Linked DNA regions of Mytilus edulis. The protein of the gene in region 1 purifies or fractionates together with the protein of each later gene. This does not show direct contact. Links are inferred from orthologs where the notes say so. Each region holds a gene or a part of one and is shown on either strand. Other genes may lie near its edges.

Region 1 (8,183 bases):
GTGTCATGTTCTAAACATAAATTTTGAATGGACAAAATCAAAAATCAAAAGATATATTTCTTTGGAATTCCATGTTAAGCCTAATGCAAATTTCACCTTTTTCCAAATAGATTTAGCTCACAAAACCTTTTCTCCAAACAACCATATTCCTGAACCACTTGCTAACATCTCCATTGTATTTATAAAGCTAGGAGACTGGAGACTAACTTGTGAACCCTTTTACAAATCACCAAAAAAATATCAAAAAAATACCATCATAATCTTTAACAACGCAACAAAATACAACCATTTGATTTTCATAAACTGACATAATTAAACACCATAAATCTTACTATAGTTATATTAAAATATATATAATGCCTATATAATGTTTGATAAATTCAAAATGGAAAATCCTGACTGATGAGAAATCAAAGTATAAATTTATTAGATAATAAATCACTATTAGCATAATTACATAAAAAATAATAAAAATAAATTAAGAACATTGACTCTCCATTCCTTTCAATGTTAACCATAGCTTGTTTTTGAAACTTCGGTCAATCAAAATTTTCTTACCAAATGACCAAAATATAACTGCGTGTTTAATAGAGGCAGACTAAGGATATTTCATTTAATTCATGGACACAAATTAATTATTGTTTGAAATTTAGATGATATTTTGCTAATATGCCAAATCAATCACTAGCCATGGAGAACGACAATTGTATTTGGTGCCGACTTAAAGAAACCAATTTGTATCAAATAAGTTCAAATTATCAAAATGAATCTATGAAATAAATTCAGAAAGAGCTGTTGAATATTTCTGAAATAAAAAATTTGCGTCATGCCTCTGGTATCATTTAAAAAATAATGTATAAATTACATTTTTTTCAAAAATCAACATTCAATTCCATATTTGTCAAAGTTTCTAAGAACAACACCTATATTCATGTGAACATTGCCCATGGCAACTGTATTTAGTCTGTATCTATCAGCTCCACTGTAAATCAGATCAGGATTCTTCAGCTGTGGTCCTCCACCAACAAAATATTGAGAAACTTGTTCTCTAAATGTTCCTGCTGGTCTCCATGTTGGACATGAAATTTTATGGGTACCAGGTGATGTAGGCACATGGCAAAATCCATATCCATATAGTTCATTCCGTCCAAAAGAATCCTGATGCCAAACTTGAAAATGAATTTTTGGCCAACCTGAAAAAAGTTTTTAAATTTATTTAAAGATTTATCTTCAATCAAACTTGCAAGTTTAAGGAGTCATGTCTTGTATATTTTACGTGGAGTATTTATGTTCAAGTTGACAAAATAATTCATAAAATCAAAATATTCCTTGATGCAATTTTGTTTATTATATGTTTTGTGTTTATTGTCATTGTGTGTTTTACTATCTTTTATAAGAATTTTATAAGGCTAGTTGTTTTCTTGTACTTATTATCATAGTATCCTTTCATTGTCATTCAACTGTTAGAAGCCAAAAAAGGGAGGTTTACTTGTAATTCTTAAGATAAAACAGTAGTTCAGGCTGGCATATGTTCATGTGCCTGTACAATGTAAGGATTCTCACAATCCACTTCAGTGGTTTTTTTAACTTGTTTTGTCATTCAGGTTATTTGGTATTTATGACAACTGAGGCATAGCCAAGGTTGACAATGTCTTTTTGAGGGGTTACAATCTGCTCTATAACACTTTAAGATATATTTGTTATTTAATTCATTATACTGATTGTTCTGAAAGTTCTGTTATTACTGTCCTTTTAATTTTAAATTCTAAGTAATAAACTATGATGTCTTGTACATAACAACCATCTATACTAAATAAAACACACACTTGATAAAGCATCTCCATGAAGGGTAATAGAGTATTGGAAATTGGGTAGAGTCAATTATCTCCCTTGTATAAACCAATCAAAATCTGATATTTTGATAAGAACTGAAGTGTAATATTTAATATTGTTTTAATTGAACAAATTACCTTGTAAACCTTTGGTTGTAAAGTGAACATCTATTGGATGAGCCCAGTATGCTTCATCATAATTTTGTGGGTTATCTACTTGTGTTTGTCCTTCTCTTAGACCAGACAAAGCTTTCCATGCTCCTCCTGATAATACAAAATATATCATAAATATGAATTGATATATGAGGTACATGTAGTTTTACATAAAAAAATATCTTATAGTATAAAAACAAATAACTAACACTGGACTTTGACTTTGTGGTCTTCATTGGTGAATGTAAGTTAACACTTTAATCATGCACATTGTTTATGGATATACAATGTAGGTCAATAACAATGAAGAAAACTATTTACTGAATTTGAATAATGTGTATCCTGTGTTATCTGACATACTGGAGGACCAGAAAAAATGTTGGATTCAGCAGGGTGTCGGAATACTCTGGCAGGTTTTTTTTTTGCAAGGTTAAGCAAATTGGGACCATGAAAATGTGTCGGTTAAAGCAGGATGTTGGAACACTCAGGTGTCAGAAAAGTCAGGTTACACTGCATAATCAATCATAACACACTGAAAAAGGGCTAATATACAGACAAAACAAATTCTCTAATCAGATTTTCTTCAAACAGATTATTTTCTTCAAAATTTTGCTGAAGACTACAAGTAAGTTTAATTTTGAATGTTTTTTATGTTTGCTTGCTATTTCACAGTCTTTATAATTCTAAAGAACTAGTCAAAGTTTATTCAAAATAAGTTTTAAAAAAATGTATGTATATGTTGTTTAATAAGTCTATTTCAACACACCTGTATGTATACCCCATTTACAAAACAAACTATGATCTGGAAATCCATCAGCACCAAGAATCTGTCCTATGATATGTACTTCTGCCATGATTCTGTAAAAATAAATCAATTACTCTATTCAAGATTCAATTATGTCGGAGGAAAAAAATAAAATTACACAATTTAAAACTCACTTATTTCACATATATATATGTAATTCAATTGAATTCTCTCAAATACATTTCCAAAAGTACATTATATGTTCATGTTCCCCATTTCCATTCTTAATTTTATGTTGTACATTTTTATGTATAAAATGTATCAAAAGTCAAATTAAAGGGACTCCAAAATTACTAGTCATGCTAGTGTACACAATTCAAAGAGGGAAACCAACGATCTAATTTACATATATATACAAACGGGAAAATACATATGAACAGAACCACACCAACAAACGATACATGTTACTACTGAACAATAGACCCAGAATCAATGCGGACAGGTGCATAAACATGCAGTGGGTATGGATAGTTTCGTTCCGCTGGCATACAATATAATTGCAGTTGAAGGCAACTCTTCTCCTTCAGAAGTTCTGCATTCTCTATTTTGACAACGAACATTTTTTGATGGGCCGGGAATGTAGGTGAGGGGGAAGAAAACTAATGTACAGGTATTTTCCCCTTGTTATATATTTATATCAGAGCACTCCCACTTTGGATATATGGGTTTAATGTTTAATCAAATTTTTACAAAAACATTTACATAGTGTGGTGGGGTGCTTATAGGTTTAAAATCATTAAATACAGGTAAGCAGGTAAGACTGTGATTTTAAATTAAGGGTTAATATTTTTTTATAATATTTACCAAAAAACAGACAGGATTATATTTCCGGATGCGGGAAGCAGGAATATAAATCTTAAAATTTATTTCTGTTTCGAATAAAATAGGTGCGGCCAGGTCTGTCAAATAAGGAATTAAATTGATGTGGCCTCAAAGTCATTATTGCAGTACTAGTCTTCTTCTTTAAGGAAATTTGTAAATGGATTCATGTGATAGCTTTATGAATTATGTAGTATTGAATAACACAGAAAGTTCTCTCTTTGGTATTTACATATGTATTATAAACAATGTTTGCAACATATGCATTTTTCAATTATAACTCTAGAATCCGGATCCGTTCGCGCCCATTCACGTTTGCACCCACTCATGTTCGCCCCTTTCACTTTCCCACCCTACATGCTCGCACCCAAAGTCTGTTCGCACCCTACATGTTCACGCCCAATTTTAATTGGTTTTTTTTGTAATCATGCAAGTTTTGGTAAGAGTATTCTTCTTGTCATTGTCTTAAAATAAAGTGAGACAGCATTTTATTTTTGTGTTGAATAAATCTTAATCATGTTTTGGATAGTGTATTGTTAAAAAAAATATAATCCTTTCTATAAATAAAGTGGGATTCTGTCAACGTTTTATTTTGTGTTGAATAACTCTTAATCATGTTTTGGTTACTGTATTCCTATAACTTTGTTTCATTGACTTGTTTCAAAACAACTAAGTGAGATTTTGACTACGTTTTTTTTTTGTGTGTTGAATAAATTTTATCTTGTTTTGGTTATAATAGTGTATTGCTTTATTTTATTGTTTAATTGTTTCAGATCAAAGTGACCAAGCTATCAAAAACAATTATCTTTTGTGGTTTTTTTTTGGGCCCAAACGTGTAGAGTGCGAACGGACCTTGGGTGCAAACCTGCGAGGAGCAAACGTGTAGGGTGCGAAAGTGTATTGGGCGTTAACGGACCTGATACCATAACTCTAACCATCTGGTGTCTCTTTCCTTTTGTGATAAATATTTCAAACAGAAAGAAAGCAATTAAATGAATCTTGTAGTTAAATTGGCAAACCATTTTATTTGACATGCCCAACCCGTCTTTTCGAACATAAAAATCAAAAGTAATTAAAACCCGCTAGGAAAATTCAAGTTCGAACATGGCCAAGGCACTTTAAACTCTCTTTTTGCTTACCACGCCGTAATTTAAGTAGATAAAATGCTGAATTCAGTAATTTTGTTATTAAATGGTTAAAACTTTTCTGATTTAGGCTTCTCTGATATCTTATATATCAGGAAATTTCATTTTCTTTAGAATAAATTGTTAATGTTCATTCCTGTCCACCATTTTTGTTGACATTAACAATTTGATATTTTCGTATTTTGCATAAATCCTATTTATCAAAATAAATTGATCTTGGATGAATAATTAGTTGCTATTTAAAATGAAACTCTTTGTTAAACGCTTTTAAAAATAAAATATGAAATAATAACATCCGAAAATAATTAGTAAACAAATGCTGATTTGGCACATGTGTGAGTTCTATCAAGATAATGACAACTTATCATATTTGTCAGTGTAAAATTCATAGCTTATAAATAATCAACATCCTGCATCTCCCTCATAAACAATCATCAATCTCTCATATAAATTTACACGTGTGCTCTTGCATTTTACGTCTAATAACCAATTCCTGTTCTGGAGAAGGAATAAAACACATTGTCCAATGCTTTAAGGTTCATCATAACCTTTTGGCTAAAATGGCCTTATTTACACCCCAAATTTTACTCTGAGTACAGACTAACCTATACACCTGCAACAGTTTTAAGGGATGGCAGGAACTAGATATATAAATTTTAAATGCATTTTATGTTTCAGAAAATTATAAACTTTTCTAGATTTTGCTATCCATTTTTTTTCGTTCCTGCAGAAGGTGCAAAAATTAACTAAGTAGTGAAAACGATTGAGAAGCTCCCCTCATATAATGAATGTTGTGAGTAGTATTGATTTAAATGGACAATAGACACCTGTAAACAATAGGTGATTTAACAGGTTTAAACTGTGTCACTGAATGGACCGTATCAAATGAAACTCGGGTGTTTGTTTATTTTGCTATCTTCTGCAGACTGGAAAAAAATGAACATCAAAATCCAGGTAAGTTTTTAATTTTCTGAAACGTAGACTTCATATAACTTTTATATATCTAGTTCCTGCCATGCCTTAAAACTTTCCTGGATGTACCAGTTTGTCTGTACTCATAGTAATTTTGGAGGTGTAAACACGGCCATATTTTTCAATTCCTTATGATGAACCTTAAATACATGTATAAACAATAACGATAATAATTGATAAATTCTTTATTTTTAGAAATCTGTCTGGCATGACCCTGGAATCTGTTCCGCTTGAACGTTTGACATCATACAACAATCACTTTTCCATCAATCTAATTAAAAACCGATCTCTCATCGCTCCCGTTTTCTGATATGTCGCATGGGAGATCTAACGAAACCGGCTTTGAGGTCACATGTGAGTGAACTAAAAGTTATAAATTTATAATGATATGCAAATGAGTTGATGACCTATTAGTAAGCCAATCAAAAAAGTTTATGAATTATTTTGACTGACGATTTCGTCGTAAATAAAATGAGTTACATCCCTTTACCTTTCATTAAACTTTCAAGATCGTGGAAGACTCAATTTCATTGGTCGAAAAAGACACACCTACGAGGTCACTCACATGTGACCTCAAAGCAGGTTTCGTTAGATCTCCCACGCGACATCAGAAACAGGAGCAATAAGAGATCGGTTTTAATTAGATTGCTTTTCCATATGAGCATCACTGATGAATCTTATGTTGACGAAACGCTTGTCTGCTGTACTAAATTATAATCCTGGTACCTTTGATAACTATTTACACCACTCATGGGTCGATGCCACTGCTGGTGGACATTTCGTCCCGGAAGGTATCACCAGCCCAGTAGTCAACACTTCGGTGTCAACATGAATATCAATGATGTGGTCATTTTTATGAATTTCCTGTTTACAAAACTTTGAATTTTTCGAAAAAAACTAAGGATTTTCTTATCCCAGGCATAGATTACGTACTTAGCCATATATTTGGCACAACTTTTTGGAATTTTGAATCTTCAATGCTCTTCAACTTTGTACTTGTTTGGCTTTATAAATATTTTGATATGAGCGTCACTGATGAGTCTTATGTAGACGAAACACGTGTCTGGCGTACTAAATTATAATTCTGCTAGTGGTACCTTTGATAACTATTATGACTTTGTTTAAGACCCCAAACTAATCAATGGTAACAACAGGTGTCATAATCTGTTGTTACAGGTAATCTGTTTATTGGATGGGTCTTTAATGATTACTATATTAATTCATTCAAATAGAATCGATAGAAGGAATTTGCATATACATGTAACAACACTATGTACTGTACTTTCCTAGTGTAAGAATAATTTGTACCTCAGCCATTGTCAGCTCAGGCCAACAGAATGTATACAAAACTTTCCCAAAAAATCGGATTGTGTCTGTTGCTAAAGTAGACCTTTATAAAACTGAATCACCCTATACTAGTATATAAGAATCAATTGGATATAATTTGTAGAATATTCCGTATTGATTTAACCTTCCATTAATGGCCTGTTATTAATGAATGATAATTGTATATATTTAAGATTGTTTTTTGTGCATAAATTAATATTGTCATTTCTTCAACGTTGTACTTTATTTGGCCTTTTTAACATATTTTGATTCCAGCTTCACTGATGAGTCTTTTTGTAGACGAAAATTGTGTGTCTGGCATATATATAAAATTTGAATCCTTATATCTATGATGAGTTTATTCTATCTAGAACCTCCCAAAAAAGGGACAAACCTTGTTTATACTGTCCTTTGCTTTCTGATGTTGTCCCTTTCTATTACCAGGAGGTAAAAATAACCTATTTGTAATATGGTATGTAATTTAAAAAAATTCATGGTAAATTTATTTTTTTTAGGAAAAAAAATGTAAATTAAATTCCACACTTTGATATATATATTGGAATCATTTTGATCTTATGTCTGCAAAGGGAGGTCATCATGTATCTGATACAGACTCGGATATTACTGTTGGACCAGAAGATAGTGACGTGACCACTGAATCACCACACAAATCACCAGTAAATCTTCCGTCATTAAGTAAAAGAAGAAGTGAAGTTCATGAGATTTCAGAGTCTGAAGAGGAAAGTGAAGAATATTTCATTTTGAAAGGGACTTCTAAAGGGAAAGGAAAATCTTCATTATTTAACTCATTGAAATCCACATCTGAACAAAACGAATCTAAATCACTTGTTAAACAAAGTAATAAATCATCAGCAACTTTGACTAAGCTTAAGTCACAAGAAAAGACAACAAAATCATCATCAGAATGTTTTTCAAAGTCACTAGACAACAGAACAAAGCCATCATCAGAAACTTTGACTAAGTCAATCGAGAAGAGATCAAAGCCATCATCAGAAACTTTGACTAAGTCAATAGACAAGAAGACAAAGTTGTCACCAGAAACTTTGACTAAGTCACATGACAAGAGAACAAAACCATCATCAGAAAGTGTGACTAAGTCCTCTGAGAAAA
Region 2 (8,367 bases), on another chromosome or scaffold:
AAACAGCCAACATTCCTCACTAACACTGACTGGAGTTCCTTGCTAAATGTTATTAAACTTACAGTCTGCGGTTCATCACAGTTTCTTTTTATTTTTTTTTATTAAAATATCTGTTAATGAAGAACTTAAAATATGTAAAACATCTGTTAATGAAGAACTTAAAATATGTAAAACATGTGGTATTGAGAGGTTATTAAAGTAAAACATCTGGTATTGAGAGGTTATTAAAGTAAACCCTAGATTTAAATATGTAAAACATCTGGTATTGAGAGGTTATTAAAGTAAAACATCTGGTATTGAGAGGTTATTAAAGTGAACCCTAGATTTAAATATGTAAAACATCTGGTATTGAGAGGTTATTAAAGTAAACCCTAGATTTACATCTGGTATTGAGAGGTTATTAAAGTGAACCCTAGATTTACATCTGGTATTGAGAGGTTATTATTACCCTAGATTTACATCTGGTATTGAGAGGTTATTAAAGTGAACCCTAGATTTACATCTGGTATTGAGAGGTTATTATTACCCTAGATTTACATCTGGTATTGAGAGGTTATTAAAGTGAACCCTAGATTTATATGTAAAACATGTGGTATTGAGAGGTTATTATTACCCTAGATTTACATCTGGTATTGAGAGGTTATTAAAGTGAACCCTAGATTTATATGTAAAACATGTGGTATTGAGAGGTTATTAAAGTGAACCCTAGATTTATATGTAAAACATGTGGTATTGAGAGGTTATTAAAGTGAACCCTAGATTTACATCTGGTATTGAGAGGTTATTATTACCCTAGATTTACATCTGGTATTGAGAGGTTATTAAAGTGAACCCTAGATTTACATGTGGTATTGAGAGGTTATTATTACCCTAGATTTACATCTGGTATTGAGAGGTTATTAAAGTGAACCCTAGATTTATATGTAAAACATGTGGTATTGAGAGGTTATTATTACCCTAGATTTACATCTGGTATTGAGAGGTTATTAAAGTGAACCCTAGATTTATATGTAAAACATGTGGTATTGAGAGGTTATTAAAGTGAACCCTAGATTTATATGTAAAACATGTGGTATTGAGAGGTTATTAAAGTGAACCCTAGATTTACATCTGGTATTGAGAGGTTATTATTACCCTAGATTTACATCTGGTATTGAGAGGTTATTAAAGTGAACCCTAGATTTATATGTAAAACATGTGGTATTGAGAGGTTATTAAAGTGAACCCTAGATTTATATGTAAAACATGTGGTATTGAGAGGTTATTAAAGTGAACCCTAGATTTACATCTGGTATTGAGAGGTTATTATTACCCTAGATTTACATCTGGTATTGAGAGGTTATTAAAGTGAACCCTAGATTTATATGTAAAACATGTGGTATTGAGAGGTTATTAAAGTGAACCCTAGATTTATATGTAAAACATGTGGTATTGAGAGGTTATTAAAGTGAACCCTAGATTTATATGTAAAACATGTGGTATTGAGAGGTTATTAAAGTGAACCCTAGATTTACAAAGTAGAGTCACAGATACAAGAACGAGACACAAAATTGACAATGCATAAATAAAATGGTAAAATAACAAAAAATTTATAAATTTACTTCATTCAAGCGACATGTTCATACAAGTAGGTTTATTTATCAAGCCCAGCCGCCCAACTGTCACACATGGGTCAATACAGATCCAATTTGTTTACTTAGAATTTGCAGGTTTATAGTAACTATACCTGGAGTACAACAACAGCATTTTTAGGCTGGCCAGTTGTTTTCCACTTGTGTGAACCTTCTGCTTTTAACAAATTTTCAGCTGGATTATTCTGAAATAAACAAACTCTAACATTAACACACAGGCACTCATCTCAGAAGAAAAATTTCCTATATACCTTTATAGAAAACCATGATGCTTTATTGCAAGAATTCTTTTGGCAAATTGAAAAATCATAATTGACAATCATCCCTGCTCTCATTAGCAATTTGGTAATTGTTAAAGTACCGACTAAATAAACAATATTCCTAGTTTATCAATGATGATCACTGAGATCTTGATGAAAGTTATTAGAGCAGGGATATAGGCGATCCCCTCTATCTGGTAAATGACGTCAGAAAGGCACCCATAATTGACAAGTTTTTAAGGTGAAGGACAAACTAGAACATGTTTTATCGAAAGGGGTCTATTATTTGCACTAGCTTTCCTCTAGGCCAGTAGTCCCCAGGTCAATCCGGGCAGTATAATACTGAAATTAGAAAGTCTTTTTTTCACTATAAACGTCTTCTTTTAGTATTAAGTTGGTCTCATTGCCATTGGGGTCTAAGCGTGACGTGGGATTGCTGATTTTTTGTAAGCATGACACCTGAAAGTCAAATTATTGTGCCGTGAAAACGGGAAATTAGCAAAAAAATGAGAAATTGCTTATGTACATAGTGTAAGCGGGATACTGGAATCTGACAAAACAGTAAGAGGGATCTTGGATCAGAAACCCCCAATGAGACCCCCTATGAACTTCTAATAGACAATTTATGAGTTCGATGTATTTCCATCAAAAACTCTGGTTTTGGTGAACATCATTCTTGTGTTTAGGTGCACCGTCACTTCTGTTCCAATGTTGAGCAAGTGGCCGGGGCACGAATTATTCAGCGAATTAAAATTTGATAATTGACAATCATCACTGCTGTCATTAAGGAAAATTTTGTAATTGAGTACTTACAAAACATTATTTCTAGTTTATCCTACACAATGATGATCACAAAGATGCTTGATGAACGTTAATAGTGCAGGGATACAAGCGATCCCCTCTATCTGGTTAATGACGTTATAAAGGCGCGCATAATTAACAAGTTTTTTTCTGTGAGGGATGAACTCGAAAGTGGTCTATTATGGAACTCTTAGAAGTCTCATTAGAATACACCTTATCGCTATTTGTCTGCCATTGCTGGAAATCACACAGGTTCCCGTAAAATTTTGACGTCATAAAACAAAATATCTGACGCCACAATGGAAAAGTGATTGTTGTTGACGTCAAAAGTTCAAGCTGCCGGGTCAGCCGGGATTAGCGATAAGGTGTATAAGACACTAGCACAGGTCAGAATTCCGATCAAGCTTGTACATGTGTTTACCTTGTCAGCACAACTACAGGATACAATATGCTTCACTTTTATTTCTGGCATGTTCTCCAATTAAGTCTGGAATGTCATTTGATTAATCATTTACTTTACAATTCTAAAGTATACACATAATACTGAATCGAGCTCCTTATTCAGCAAGTTTTTGTAAGAATCCAAACAACGGAAATACGATGTTAATGTTAATTAAAGAGACGGTTCCGGGCACTTTGAGGGAAAAGATCCTCCCTCTGAACTACAGAGTGAATTGTCAATTTCACGAACTAAATGGATAAATAATTCAATTAATTAAGTGTCTTTTATCATTTAATGCAGAAATTTATTCTTTTTGTTGCTATTTATAATTTGCATCATCCAAATTGTTTTCCCGGAAGTTCACACTTCGGTTGTCTCCCATTCATACACTTGAAAACAACATAAAATCTGAAGAAGATCTTTTACCTGAAAATTGAAATAAAAACACGTAAGAATAAGCTAACTGCCAGTAAAGGTTACAATTGAGTGCAGCCATGTTGAGCTTTACTTTTAACACCAGGTCTATGATATCTGATTTAATTTGATTTTTGATGACTTTAGACTTAGTTAAAATTACTGATTTAGCTGTCAAAGATTGAAATTTGACAAATTCTACTTCTATCATTCTATAGTCACTTCATCACCTGGTCAAATCTACCTGGAGTCATATTGAGACCTCGATAATTCAGCCAACAACCAAATTTAACAATTTAATTGAATGATTATATTTTCCAAGGAAAACATTGTAGACTAATATCATCATGATCATGAACATGAAGAATAATATTGGAAACTATTTTTTTTACCACATTTTAAAGATATTTTATCTCAAGGTTTCAACATACACATTTTGCATAACGGAATGACGGAAGTTCCAAGGAAAACTTTTATTTAAGCTTGATAAAACTAGAAATAAAGAAATTAGATAAAAAAAAAAAAACGTCTTGAACATACATGACATTTACACATTCATGAAAATTAAAACACCATTGATATTTTTTTTTATAAGGCATACCTGCCAACTGTCACTATTTGCAGGGGATTTCCCCCATGGAGGCTCCAAAATTGAAATTTTTGAAGAGCAATTTTGTCCACAATTTTAAACAAATAATTAATTTTACAATCAATTGAGGCTTATAAAAGTATGAAGAAGCCAAAATACAACATTGCAATGTATTTGAAGGCCCCCCTTGAAGGTTTTTTAGGATTATGGCAGCCATCTTGCACGCAAAACCCCCATGGGCATTTTGATAATTTGGCAGGTATGATAAGGGGACGAAGTCCCTTACATGCCTTATAATGGTAGAAAAATCAATTAACAAAAAACATCCCCCAAATTTTCAATCTACTAAAAAGTAAAATCACAAAAATACTGAATTCAGAGGAAAATCTAATCGGAACGTCCATAATCACATAACAAAATCAACTGACAAAACACATCAAAATCGAATGGACAAGAACTGTCATATTTCTGACTTGGTACAGGCATTTTCAAATGTAGAAATGGTTAAAAAAGACAACATGACTAATGACCTCAAAATCGTTAACTTTTTTTTTTCAGACTTATTTAAATTCCCACATTTGCGCAGAAATCTACCTACTTTTTCCGGTCTCGTTGTCCAGACAGGGGACTTACTGAAATAAGTGATTTTTAAATCACTTATTTGAGTAGCAAATTCAAGGTTTTGTCACAAATTGGGATTTTGTAGTTTTTTCAAAATTTTCAACACATAGGTTTAAACATGTTAAATAATATCTTTTAATTAGTAAAATTTAAAAATATGAACTTTTTGCTTCTTTTAAGTAGCAAGGTTTATGCCTTTGATGCTATCATTTAGCTGAAAATTCTATTTTAGTTGAAAAAATGCTATAATAATGGCTTTACATAATGAACTGACACTTTCTTCAAAGATTTTTCACAGCAGTGGGAGTATTTTTCCTGTGAAGTTCAAGGTTTCATCTTTCAGATTATGTAATAAAATTCTACTGTTTGCGATAAAAGTTTCACTGATTGGGGTGTTGAAATTAGTGGGGGTTATTAAAAGAATGATACTTAAAGAAGTGATTTTTTGGAAGGAAATTGAGGTCTGATACTTAAATAAGTGATTTGTATGTCATTATCCTAGATTCAGTACAAGGTCATCACCTGAAATGACCTGGTCATCCTAGACAACACAAATGTTGGTTCTGATAAGTTTCGAAACATAATTAGGCCCTGGATCATTAGTATTCTATATTTAAAGCTACAATAAAATTAAATCACTTCTAGTGATTAATTTGTACTACTTAAATAGGTGATTATTAAAGAAAGACAACTCTAACTTCCAACCTTAATGGAAATAATGTTACTTGAATCAGTGATTTAGAAAATCACTTGTTTAAGTAAGTCCCCTGACTGTTGTCAGGAGACTTTGAGTAAAACATACATGAAATATATTTATCGTTTATCAGTCTAGTAAAATATAAGAAGGAACACCATACCAAATTCATTTTTAACAATTCATTAATATAAAAAAAACATTACCTAATGATAGCATTTCTGTGTTTACATTGAATATGATGTCATAACCTAAATAAAGTCACAACTAAAATCCCTAACAACAGAACCAAAATCGGAAATGTTACGGTATTTCCGTGTCCTTTTTAACCATTTTGATGTTAAAATATGTATGAATTAAAAAAAAATAATTCATACAGACTTCATCCCCTTTCACAAGTAATGCCTGCCTCACATTAATAATCATATAAAAATCTGTCTTTAGGTGTGTATAATAGGCACCACCTCTACCTACTACTTTACAAGCATAACAAATGCATACTATACACACCTAAAGACGGTAAGTTATTTTTGCATGACTATTCCTACCTTAGGATATTGTACATGTTGTACCACTTTTCACAGTACATTGTCATAGGGGTTTCAAATAAACTTTTTACATTGGTCTCTCACATGTCTCAGTATATTTGTTTTTTTACAGATTCATTCATATTTAAGATAAATTAAAGTGAAGAATAAACCATCAACTGAAGTCAGTCTTAGACTTACAATTGAAAAGGAAGCCACAGATTTAAGTAGATAGATAGTTGAACAATCAGTAAAGTCAGACGTAACACAGTTAGAAGGTAGCCATTAAAGTGGAGAGTAACATTTGTCAGCCTTAACACAGTTAGAAGGTAGCCATTAAGTGGAGAGTAACATTTGTCAGCCTTAATTAACACAGTTAACCAGTCAGACGTAACACAGTTAGAAGGTACATGTAGCCATTAAGTGGACAGTAACATTGTATACAGTTAACCAGTCAGACAATTATGGATGGAAATAAAGATCTCCAAAACGTAGCAGAAAAACCAAAGAAGAAGAAATCACAAGGTTATTATAGACTTTTCTTATATTTGATAATTCTTTTTGCATGTTAATTATGTATTTTTACATTCATTTATTTATTCTTCTGTCTGCATTTAATATCAGTTACATAAAAGTGTAAATTTTGGAATGCTACATGTAGTTAGATACCTACATTTGTACATCATGTACATATAAAAACAGAAGATGTTGTATGATTACAAATGAGACAACTCTCCACAAGATACCAAAATGACATTATTTAGTAAATAACCAATTTTACGGTATTATCCTAGAACAATAAATAGGAAAATGTTGGGACTAGAAAATAGTTTTCCTGAATGTTTTATCACAAGTTAAAGGAAACAATCACTAATTTTAACATTTTTTACCGACACCACTGTTAGAGGTATACATGCTCATACATGTCATATGTATGTTAATAGTTACCATGGTTACTTGTCAATCAATAAAAATATAGTTCTGACAATTACATAAATCATCTTTACATTTGACAGGAAACCAGGCAAAGAAAGATGGCAAGAAGAAATCTGGTGATAATCAGAGACCAGTCATGTCAAGTACTGTTCAGTACCATCCAGATAGTTCAATCCAATATCAGGCAGATAGATTGATACCAGAAGGACAGGGAACCCATCATATTACTGACAGACTTGTTTTTGATGGACAGACACTTAATCAACCAAGACTACACAACCTCCCTCCAAAGAAAAGTTTGTCCCCATCATTTATAGCATCTCACATAATGGCACAAGAAGGAATAAATCAACCTTCAGAACCATCGCATACAGTGCAACATCTTCCTACTTCTCCAGTTAAAGTTCAAAGTTCAACAGAAAGAATCCCTGACATAAGGTTTATGGGACAGATTTTCTCCCAGCCTCAGTATCGGTCATTTACTCCACACGGTTTAGAACAGGGTGGACTGCGAGCTCCACATGGATTGGAACAGGGTGGACTGAGAGCTCCACATGGATTAGAACAGGGGGGACTAAGAGCTCCACATGGATTAGAACAGGGGGGAATACGTCTTCCACATGGACTTGACCAGGGTGGACTGTTAAGACAACAATTGTTACATGGAATTAGACCTTCATCAGATTCTTCATTTCATAGACCGACTATTGATCCTTCAAGATCATCCCCATCTTATCACAGAGTAGACCCTCCAAGGCCGTCACCCTCCTATCACAGTCCACCACCTAACAGAACTGTACACAATATACCAGGATCCTCTCCACCAGGGGTCGTTGGTCGTGAGAGTGAAAGGATGTCTCCATATCATGTATCTACCATACGTAAGACACCTTCTCCAGCACCTAAACGTGTATCGCCAGGTCCTCAGAAGTCTTCCCCATCTCCCAAACATCAACGAATGTCACCAGTGCCAGAGCTATCTTCGCATTATCGTCAAGATAGAGTATCTCCTGCAGAGAGGACACAGTTAAGTTTGGAAGAGGCCATTAAATTAATGCAAGGTCACCCTGGAGCTAGCATTCCACAGCATTTACTTACACAAGTTTCTCTAGGTCAGCAGGGTCAACTTACCCAGCAACAGACCAGACCTGAGACTGAAGATTTAACAAAGGTTTGTAATCTTATACACAGATGATTCAGTGTTCTCCCCAGATATTTCATATAGCATCCTGGCTAAAAGGGAAATTTGAAATACCATTCTGTTTTTAAAAAATTATAGCATCACATTCATAACACAATCTATAAGAAAACAACTTCAGATAGCATCACATTCAAAAAATATAGCATCACATTACCATGATGGAAATAGGCCCTGGGGAGAACACTGATTATTTATATCATGTATATCTTAACACATGCATTATATAGACACCTGTCTGTTGATGAACATTG
Region 3 (8,584 bases), on another chromosome or scaffold:
TGCCTCTGATATTTTCTAATTTATATTATAATTTCTAATATTCTCTTGTGCATGTAGTAAGGCAAAAGCTTTTGTTACTCTTATTTTCCTCATTTGCCTTAAAACAATGGAATGTATTAATTGTTGATGTATGTCAAGTGACTTGTAATTTAACTGTCACTGCTAACAGAGACTTGGACTCTGGTGATAAGTTTCCAGGCTGTTATGTCATTGGCAACTATACCATAAATGTCAGTTTCCCCTTTATAAGTTTTTAAGAAAAGAATTTAATTATAATATAATAATAAGTTAAAAAAAAGTTGTGAAAAGTTAAGCACAAGTGACAAATCTAATTGGCTTTTTATTCAAGAAAACCTAGAGGCATTGAAAAGTGACTGTGTTGCAATTTAAAATAAATGGTTTGAACTCAGAAAGTTATCAATATATATAGAGAGTACAGATAATGTTTAAATTGGGCATTTGGAAACATTTGCCTGTTAATTGAAGATATAATTATTATATGCCTTTTCAAATATATGTGTGGCTCTGAACTAGCTGTGGTTTAAAATCTAAGAATGGAGTTGGTTATCTCCATATTTATCTGATTTATATCAACATCATTGATCCATTATATATACACATATATAAATCATTGTAATACATGTACATTACTTTGCTCTTCATATGCCCTTTAATTTGAATAAAATATCTTGTCTTATACCACAATTATTTATTTTAGTACTGACAGGTTAACTTTTAAAAGCATTTGTAAAGTAAGTGAGTTGATGACAAGCTTAGTCAATGATTGTAAATCCAGATATCATTTTTTTTTATAAAAGTAAATAATGTGATTAAACTGGTTATCTCAATTAAAAGAACTGACATTCTGCTTTGATACTATGAGATTATTTCTGATATCAGAATAATAAATTTCTTTTTGAACTTTGTCCTTTTTCAAAAAAATTCTGAACATACTGTATTTAAGTGAAGTCAGTTTTGTTTTTGTTTAAGACTACTATAACATGGGAGGTGACCACAATCTCTATGTTATACATTGAAGTAGTCTCAGGTTTTTGTAGTTCAATTGACTATGCATTTTAGTGCAGGTAAATGTGAATTTGGATTAAATTTGAAGTTGATTCAGTATATCTAATGACATAATACCACTATTTTATTTCAACTAAGCATTTTCAAATTTTATTTACTGGTCAGCTGATGTTATTATCCAATCAATAATTGATTATCAAGCACTTAACAGTTGGTTGCAGGACTTTTGAATTCAAATATAAGAAAGAAGAAAAAATATAAAGCAAAACTTCAAATATTTATACATATAACAGGATTTATGATAACTGCAGGATATATCAGATTACAATACAGCTTTTGTTCAGTGATCTTTGTGTTGATTATTATGTTTTAAATCCCTTTCTGGTTCTTTGAATGTTCAGATTTTTTCTCTTGATTAAGGCAAGCAACAGAACTTGTACAACTTATGTAGTTTCTTATCTCAGGGTGAATCCAGAAAATTTTAAACATAAGTGGTGGTATTCTCAACTAAGGATAAAAAGGAGGGTTCCAACTATATGCATGATCCCATTCAAATGCATTAATCTGCCATAAAAAGAGGAGGTTCCAATCATCATCATCTGCAACTGTATCTTAAAGCAGCTATAATAAAACAAAAATTGTACATGTACTTCTGGCTACTTCAGATTGATTTTATTTTCAATCTATGGTAATGGTAACAATTTTGAAGACTATATACATGTATTTCCTTTTTTCCCCCATATTTTTGTTTAAATGTAATCTTCTGCTTCTGCTTCTATTGTTACACAGGTTCTTCTGACAAATGACTGATAAACCCATCTTGTATCCTTGTATCTACTAAAAGGGTGTTTGAGAATATATACAATATATTCAAGTTTCAGAGAGTCAGTCTGATATAAAATGTTGGTAAGTGTCTTCTTTGGAAGTGTTCAAAAACCTGTAAGAACTTGAACTTCCATGACTATTTTAATGTTTAACAGTAGAGGAACATGGAATATTGAACGGTATTCAAGAACTCGTCGAAATAGATCTGCAATCATTAATTTTACTCATATTTACTATTGTGAACTTGCAATTTCCTACGATGCGCGTACCGAGTTATCTCCCTTTGATCTCCGCTTCGCCACGAATAATCTGACAGAATTGCGTATCCGGGGTTTTTGTGATCTGATATTGTAATATTAGGAGCAAAAAATGGTTTTACTTCATATTTTATACCTCTCAACACGTTACCAAACCTATTTAAGGATTTATTAAGGATTTTCCGTGGACCTACGCAAATTTTCCGAAAAAAAGTTTCACTTTGCTCGTGAATTTATAACATTTTAACAATACTTTTTTATTATAATTATATAAAATAAGAAAGCTTATTCAATCTAGAATTGAACACTTTGGTTTTTATTAATGTACGAGTACAAATAAGACGATACGAGTCTAAAAACCACGAGGCATGCACGTTTACAAAAAAATCGTAAACTCTGACCTTTTATCACGTGACCAATGTCTTGAACTTAGAAGCCATTAAATCGTTTGCCGTTCAACTGATATAGAGGGTTTGTTCCCAACCTGATATATAGAACAAAATGTCTATCTTCAGTCTTGCTGCACAGACCTCGCCATATTTTGTCACTTTTATGAGAGTTTTAAATTATTTACATTTGAATACTTTTATCTTTATAATATTGTTGATATTTGCTTAATTAATAATTGTAATTTATTATAATAAACTATGAATTGCTAGTGTTAGATTCTACAAAGCCAGATATAAAGGATCAGAGACTCAGGAGTCCGATACCTACTCTTTACACGGTCTGGGGTATAATATGTAAAAGTTGACTAAGAAAAATTATGGAAAAAAAATAATACGCAATGTAAAAAGTTTTCAACCAAGTGCCGAAGTGGCAGTTCTTGTCATTGGAACACATTCTTTTCGCACAAACATTTTGCAAAAAATACAATGATGCATGCAGGATGACACGCCTGTTTTTGACGGCTGGGGATTTGTTTTTTGAATTCTTACTTGAAATTTCAACACAACACAAAACAATTTTGCAGAGGTTTGCGATTTTTCAAAACAATGTAAACAGACAAATTTATCTTTAAAAAGGAGAGCGAAAAGTTATAAAAACCTGAGTGCAATCCCGAGAATCTACCCAAATCTCACAAGATATTAAGGGAAATTTACATAGTAGTGTTAGTAAGTAAGAAAGTAAGTAAGTAAGACAATTTTATTCAGAGTCGTCATATATATACACAATAACAGACAAAACATGAGCTCTGGTGAGCTCTTTAACCGACTATTGTAACGGTTTATTTCTTCCTATGGGATATTTTATCCTGTGGATAATTTGTCCCGGTAATTTTTTTCCAGGCATGGTATTTCACAGGTTGATTTTTTCCAGAGGAGTGAAAATCTATCTGTGTTATGCGGATAGTATGTACCGGTATATATTTGTGAAAAACAATCTATTTTTTTCGCGACAAGTCGAAAACAATTTTTTTCTTTCAATTTTAGCATTACATATAGTGGCAGCTGAGGGTGAAACAAACATTTTTTTTTTCTCAGAATCAAAAACAAATTATTTTTTTCTCCAAAAACTGGAAACAAACTTTTTTTTCCAAAAAAAAACCATAGCCCCATCCCCCTGATATACCTGACTATAATTATAAAATGTTTCACAAAGGTAGACCAAATTTGCATAATTTATCAAAGGGAGATAATTATGAGCAATTTATATTTTAAAGATATTAATATAATACATTTCTGAATCTATTTTATAGTGTTTGTCCTTGAATCTTATTTTTTTATATATTTATTTATATAAAAAGTTGACTTACAACTTGATTTAATAAGACAGATAACATTTCACAGGTAAAAACTATCCAGCTGTTAAACATGCTTTTGTTCAAATATATTGTTATGCTATGATTTATCTGATTTCCATATAATCAACAACTACATCTCTGTCCCCAGACAAAACTATTTATATAGTTAAAAATATCATCATAATCAAATTCTTCTATTACTGTTAACAGTAGTAATGCAACTATATTTCTACCTTACTTTTAAATTTATATTTGTACTGAGATCTGAAAACAACTCACTTTTACATGTATTTCACTAACCTTATTTAATCATGATATTATTTTCACAATAAGGATCTTTGAAATTACTTCTGGTTTTCTTCCCTATGTTTCATGATAATTTTTTTTTTAAAAGGATGATATTGACTTGAATATTTCAGGAAATTTTTTCACGGATAATTTGTGAAATTATTTCCCATTATAATACATTTTTTTTAACAATTTCGCTTTATTTCAAATACACTATTATTATTTCATAGTATTTTTAAAGGATAAGTTTTTTCTAATAACTATTCAATAAGATAACTACCCAGATAGAATTTCACGGCAAAGGAAAAAAGATCCCAGGGAAATATATTCCACCGGATAAAAAAATAACAACAACTACTGTGACATTTTTTCCTCCGGATCAAATTTCACCCGGATTTAATTTTGCTTTACACTATCACATAAACAAATCATGCAGCTTCATGCAAATACTATCAAATAAAAATGAAAAAAGCATGCAAGTATAATGGAAGCAAATATATTTGATCTGTGAGCCTCCCGAGTCAAAGTTCATTTGGCAAGCGCCTCTATGTGCATTGAACAGGGGAGTCGGCAAATCACTTGAAAATCATTAAATAATACAAATACAAATATTTTTATTGGCACAAACTCATTAACAATAAATGGTTATGACCTATGCCATTACATATAACTATAATAATTGACATGGTAGAATGAAAGGTTCCATGATAACATATCATGCTATTATGAAAAGTTACAAAATGATGTATCATATAAGATCACTATTTCTTATATTAAGACACTCTGATATGAAAGAGGAAGACAGTCTAGTAATAATGCTGAGCTATTATTAACCAATAGAGATATTTTTTCATCAATGGTAATGTTACGCTGTATTTGAAATATAACATTTATTTTATTTTCCAATATTTCTCGCTTTGAGGTAAATCTATTACATTTTAATAAGAAATGTTTTTCATCCTCATTTTCCCAATTTTTACAGACAGGACAGTTATAATCTTTCCTCTCTAGGAATATTAATTAGATGTCTTCCCCTTTCAATCATTAAAGGATGTGCACTTGTGCATATTTTGCATATTGCTGCTCTATCATTTAAATTGTTTAGTGAATCAACAAGATATGAATATCCTAATTTGTGTAAAATGCACGAAGTTTTAAGGATACAGGGGTTTTAAAATCTTGTGGAACAGAAATTTTGATTTACAAGTGTATTTTCTGATGAAAGTATATGCTCTAAAAAATTTATGCTTGAAAAAACAATTTTATTTTTGAGTGGAATTCTACCAAGCTCAGCATGACAAGCATCATTTGAAGCATAATAACAGACTAAAAGCATAAAAACAATAAATAAATAAATGTAAGCACTAGCATTTAGTGGCAGATACATTCAATAAATGCATAAAAGCAGAGCAAAAGGCCATTATAAAAAGAAAGAAAGAAATTTCAGCTTTGAGACAGCACTGGATGGAAACGACATGAACTGCTGTTACATTTTTGACCCCCACACCAGGAATTTATATAATTCCTAAACTGGTCAAAAGAAGTCATGAGTCTAGCCTCATTAGGAATGGAGTTCCATACTTGTGCTGCCTCAAATCTAAAGGATCTTTTACCATAACTTGAGATTCTAGGTCTAGGTACCTCAGTTATCATTCACATACCTGAAATTATATGAATTGTTTTTTATTACAACTAAATCTTGAATAAATAAAGGACATTTTTTATTAATTATATCAAAGGTCTCCAATGCAATTGAGGGCATTCTACGAGTTTTTTTATGATGGAAGGTTTGAAATCTGCAGGAGTGTTTCGTATGAGCTCTGATGGTCTCATAAATATTGTCAACACTGCTTTTAAATTAAAATGTAAACTCTACTTAGGAAACAACAATTTAACTTCTAGTGGGGTTTTTGTTTAAATTTGTAAAAAAAAATATTCTGAATGCCAATTCCCTACATACCTTAAGTATAGTGTAAAATTTTGAAAAAATAATCTAATTGATCGTGAAAAAAATTCTGACTAAAAATAAAACATAAACCCCCTTGAAGTTAAATGGTTGCTCCCAGTGGTGGATATCGAAATTTTCATTAGTGGGGACCCACTGACTGCCTAAGAGGGGGCCCATTCCAGTGATTCCCTGTATAATCAACCAAATTTTTCACAGAAAAGGGGGGCCTCTGGCTCCCTTAGCAGAACACAAAAAGCTAGGTTTTGATAAGACAAATATATTTAATATAATTCATGTGAGAAAAAAAAAATATTTTGGGAAAAATTAATTACAACTGGTAAATTTAAATGTTCCAATCATATAATCAATTTTACAATCTGGTTGACCAGCAGGCAAAGGTAAACCGCAATACTAAGCTTTGGTCACGTCGCAGTAAAATTTTAAATAAAACCAGCATATTGGGATGACGTTTGACAAAATTATATATTCCACCAAGAAAAAATTAAAGAAAGCAACATTAATATTGTCATCTCTTGTTTATAACTCAGTCTGGCCAGAATTGTTGACTTTTTGTTTTTCCATTGTGTTTCAGACTAACTTATTTAAAATTCGTACAAATATGGAACACACAACTTTTTTTCAAGAAGACAGCTTTGTTAACAATAAACCAGCTGTTATACTTTTTGTTGTTTTCAATTCCTCGTCGTCTTTATGTAATTTTCCACTTTCTTGAGGTGCAGCAAGCTTTAGATCTGCATATATACTGTTAGACAAAATAAGTGTATAACTGCTTCTGGAGTTGGTAAACCAGATATATACAATATTAGGTCAATGTCAGGAAAATATAAACTGTTTTGTATGAGACTGAGAAACTGGGAAAAGGCAAGGTTCTACCGAGCCCTCCCAGTTATGTCAACTTTTCATGAAGCAAATGCGGGCATGAGATTTGGCCAAAATTGAAAAGATCAAAGAGAAAAAACAATAGATCAAAGTAAAATTCCACCAAAAAATCATAAACATGCTTGAGTCTAACGCTAAATGCCTGAGACTTGGCAGCCCTGCCCTTCTCCAGTTTTGCATGAGTAAAACATTTTTTTATACTTTTATGAAATTGACCTAATATTGTTTTTATGCTGCAACATAAATTATTACACTGCATGAGAGCTTTTTAAATCGTAACACAAATGTCAAACTTATTTTCATCACTTAATGGACCCCTAATTGTGGAGAAAGTGTTCCATGATGAAATTGACATTATACAAAATATAGCTATGTTACTATATTTAGGAAATTAGCACAACAAGTTGCAGTATAAAATGTGTATTGGTGGATTTGCTTTGTTTACAGATTCTTTTTAGCCATGCCATTGTCCTTTTATTTCTAACTTGTGAGTTTTAATGTTCCTTTAGCCCAGCTCCTTTTTAGCTCACCTGACCTGAAAGGTCAAGTGAGCTTTTCTCATCACTTGGCGTCCGTCGTCTGTAAACTTTTACAAAAATCTTCTCCTCTGAAACTACTTGGCCAAATTCTACCAAACTTGGCCACAATCATCCTTGGGGTATCTAGTTTAAAAAATGTGTGGCGTGACCCGTCAAACCTACCAAGATGGCCGCCATGGCTAAAAATAGAACATAGGGGTAAAATGCAGTTTTTGGCTTATAACTCAAAAACCAAAGCATTTAGAGCAAATCTGACGGGGTAAATTTGTTGATCAGGTCAAGATCTATCTGCCCTGAAATTTTCAGACGAATCGGACAACCTGTTGTTGGGTTGCTGCCTCTGAAATGGTTATTTTAAGGAAATTTTGCAGTTTTTGGTTATTATCTTGAATACTATTATAGATAGAGATAAACTGTAAACAGCAATAATGTTCAGCAAAGTAAGACCTACAAATAAGTCAACATGACCAAAATGGTCAGTCGACCCTTTAAGGAGTTATTGCCCTTTATAGTAAATTTTTAACAACTTTTCGTCATTTTTTGTTACTTTTCTAAAAATCTTCTTCTCTGAAACTACTTTGCCAAATTTAACCAAACTTGGCCACAATTATCATTGTGTTTTACAATTTATAAAATGTGTACGATGACCCAGCCTACCAAACAAAATGGCCGACATGGCTAAAATTACCGGTAGAACATAGTGGTAAAATTGCTTTATATCTTTGAAACTAAGACATTTAGGGCAAATCTTTCAAGATTTTAATGTCCATCAGAATAAGATATATCCCCTCACAAATTTTCAATTGAATCGGACAACCTGTTGTCGGGTTGCTGCCCTAAAATTGGTGATTTTAAGGAAATTTTGCAGTTTTTGGTTATTATCTTGAATACTATTATAGATAGAGATAAACTGTAAACAGCAATAATGTTCAGCAAAGTAAGATCTACAAATAAGTCAGCATGATCAAAATTGTTAGAGGACCCCTTAAGGAGTTATTGCCCTTTATAGTCAATATTGAACAACTTTTCGTCATTTTTGTAACTTGTATAAAAATCA

Evidence for each region.
Region 2: the proteins of tyrosyl-DNA phosphodiesterase 1-like (region 1) and DNA repair protein XRCC1-like purify together in Homo sapiens (affinity purification with mass spectrometry; 4 studies listed by BioGRID and IntAct, with this or other methods). This does not show direct contact. The link is inferred for Mytilus edulis from reciprocal best matches to the Homo sapiens genes TDP1 and XRCC1.
Region 3: the proteins of tyrosyl-DNA phosphodiesterase 1-like (region 1) and DNA ligase 3-like purify together in Homo sapiens (affinity purification with mass spectrometry; 4 studies listed by BioGRID and IntAct, with this or other methods). This does not show direct contact. The link is inferred for Mytilus edulis from reciprocal best matches to the Homo sapiens genes TDP1 and LIG3.

The regions. Positions count from the first base shown.
Region 1 is NC_092346.1:49,635,528-49,643,710, forward strand, and holds the start of tyrosyl-DNA phosphodiesterase 1-like, read left to right. Parts: upstream 1-5,052; 5' UTR 5,053-5,126; intron 5,127-7,567; 5' UTR 7,568-7,627; coding exon 7,628-8,183. Other genes in the region: B9 domain-containing protein 2-like, read right to left, coding at 880-1,193, 1,971-2,096, 2,752-2,839. UniProt on the Homo sapiens protein: DNA repair enzyme that can remove a variety of covalent adducts from DNA through hydrolysis of a 3'-phosphodiester bond, giving rise to DNA with a free 3' phosphate.
Region 2 is NC_092349.1:93,467,661-93,476,027, forward strand, and holds the start of DNA repair protein XRCC1-like, read right to left. Parts: upstream 3,497-8,367; 5' UTR 3,165-3,496; coding exon 3,114-3,164; intron 1,817-3,113; coding exon 1,727-1,816; intron 1-1,726. Other genes in the region: uncharacterized protein, read left to right, coding at 6,444-6,504, 6,996-8,086. UniProt on the Homo sapiens protein: Scaffold protein involved in DNA single-strand break repair by mediating the assembly of DNA break repair protein complexes. Negatively regulates ADP-ribosyltransferase activity of PARP1 during base-excision repair in order to prevent excessive PARP1 activity.
Region 3 is NC_092356.1:45,825,106-45,833,689, reverse strand, and holds the start of DNA ligase 3-like, read right to left. Parts: upstream 3,137-8,584; 5' UTR 3,047-3,136; intron 1-3,046. UniProt on the Homo sapiens protein: Isoform 3 functions as a heterodimer with DNA-repair protein XRCC1 in the nucleus and can correct defective DNA strand-break repair and sister chromatid exchange following treatment with ionizing radiation and alkylating agents.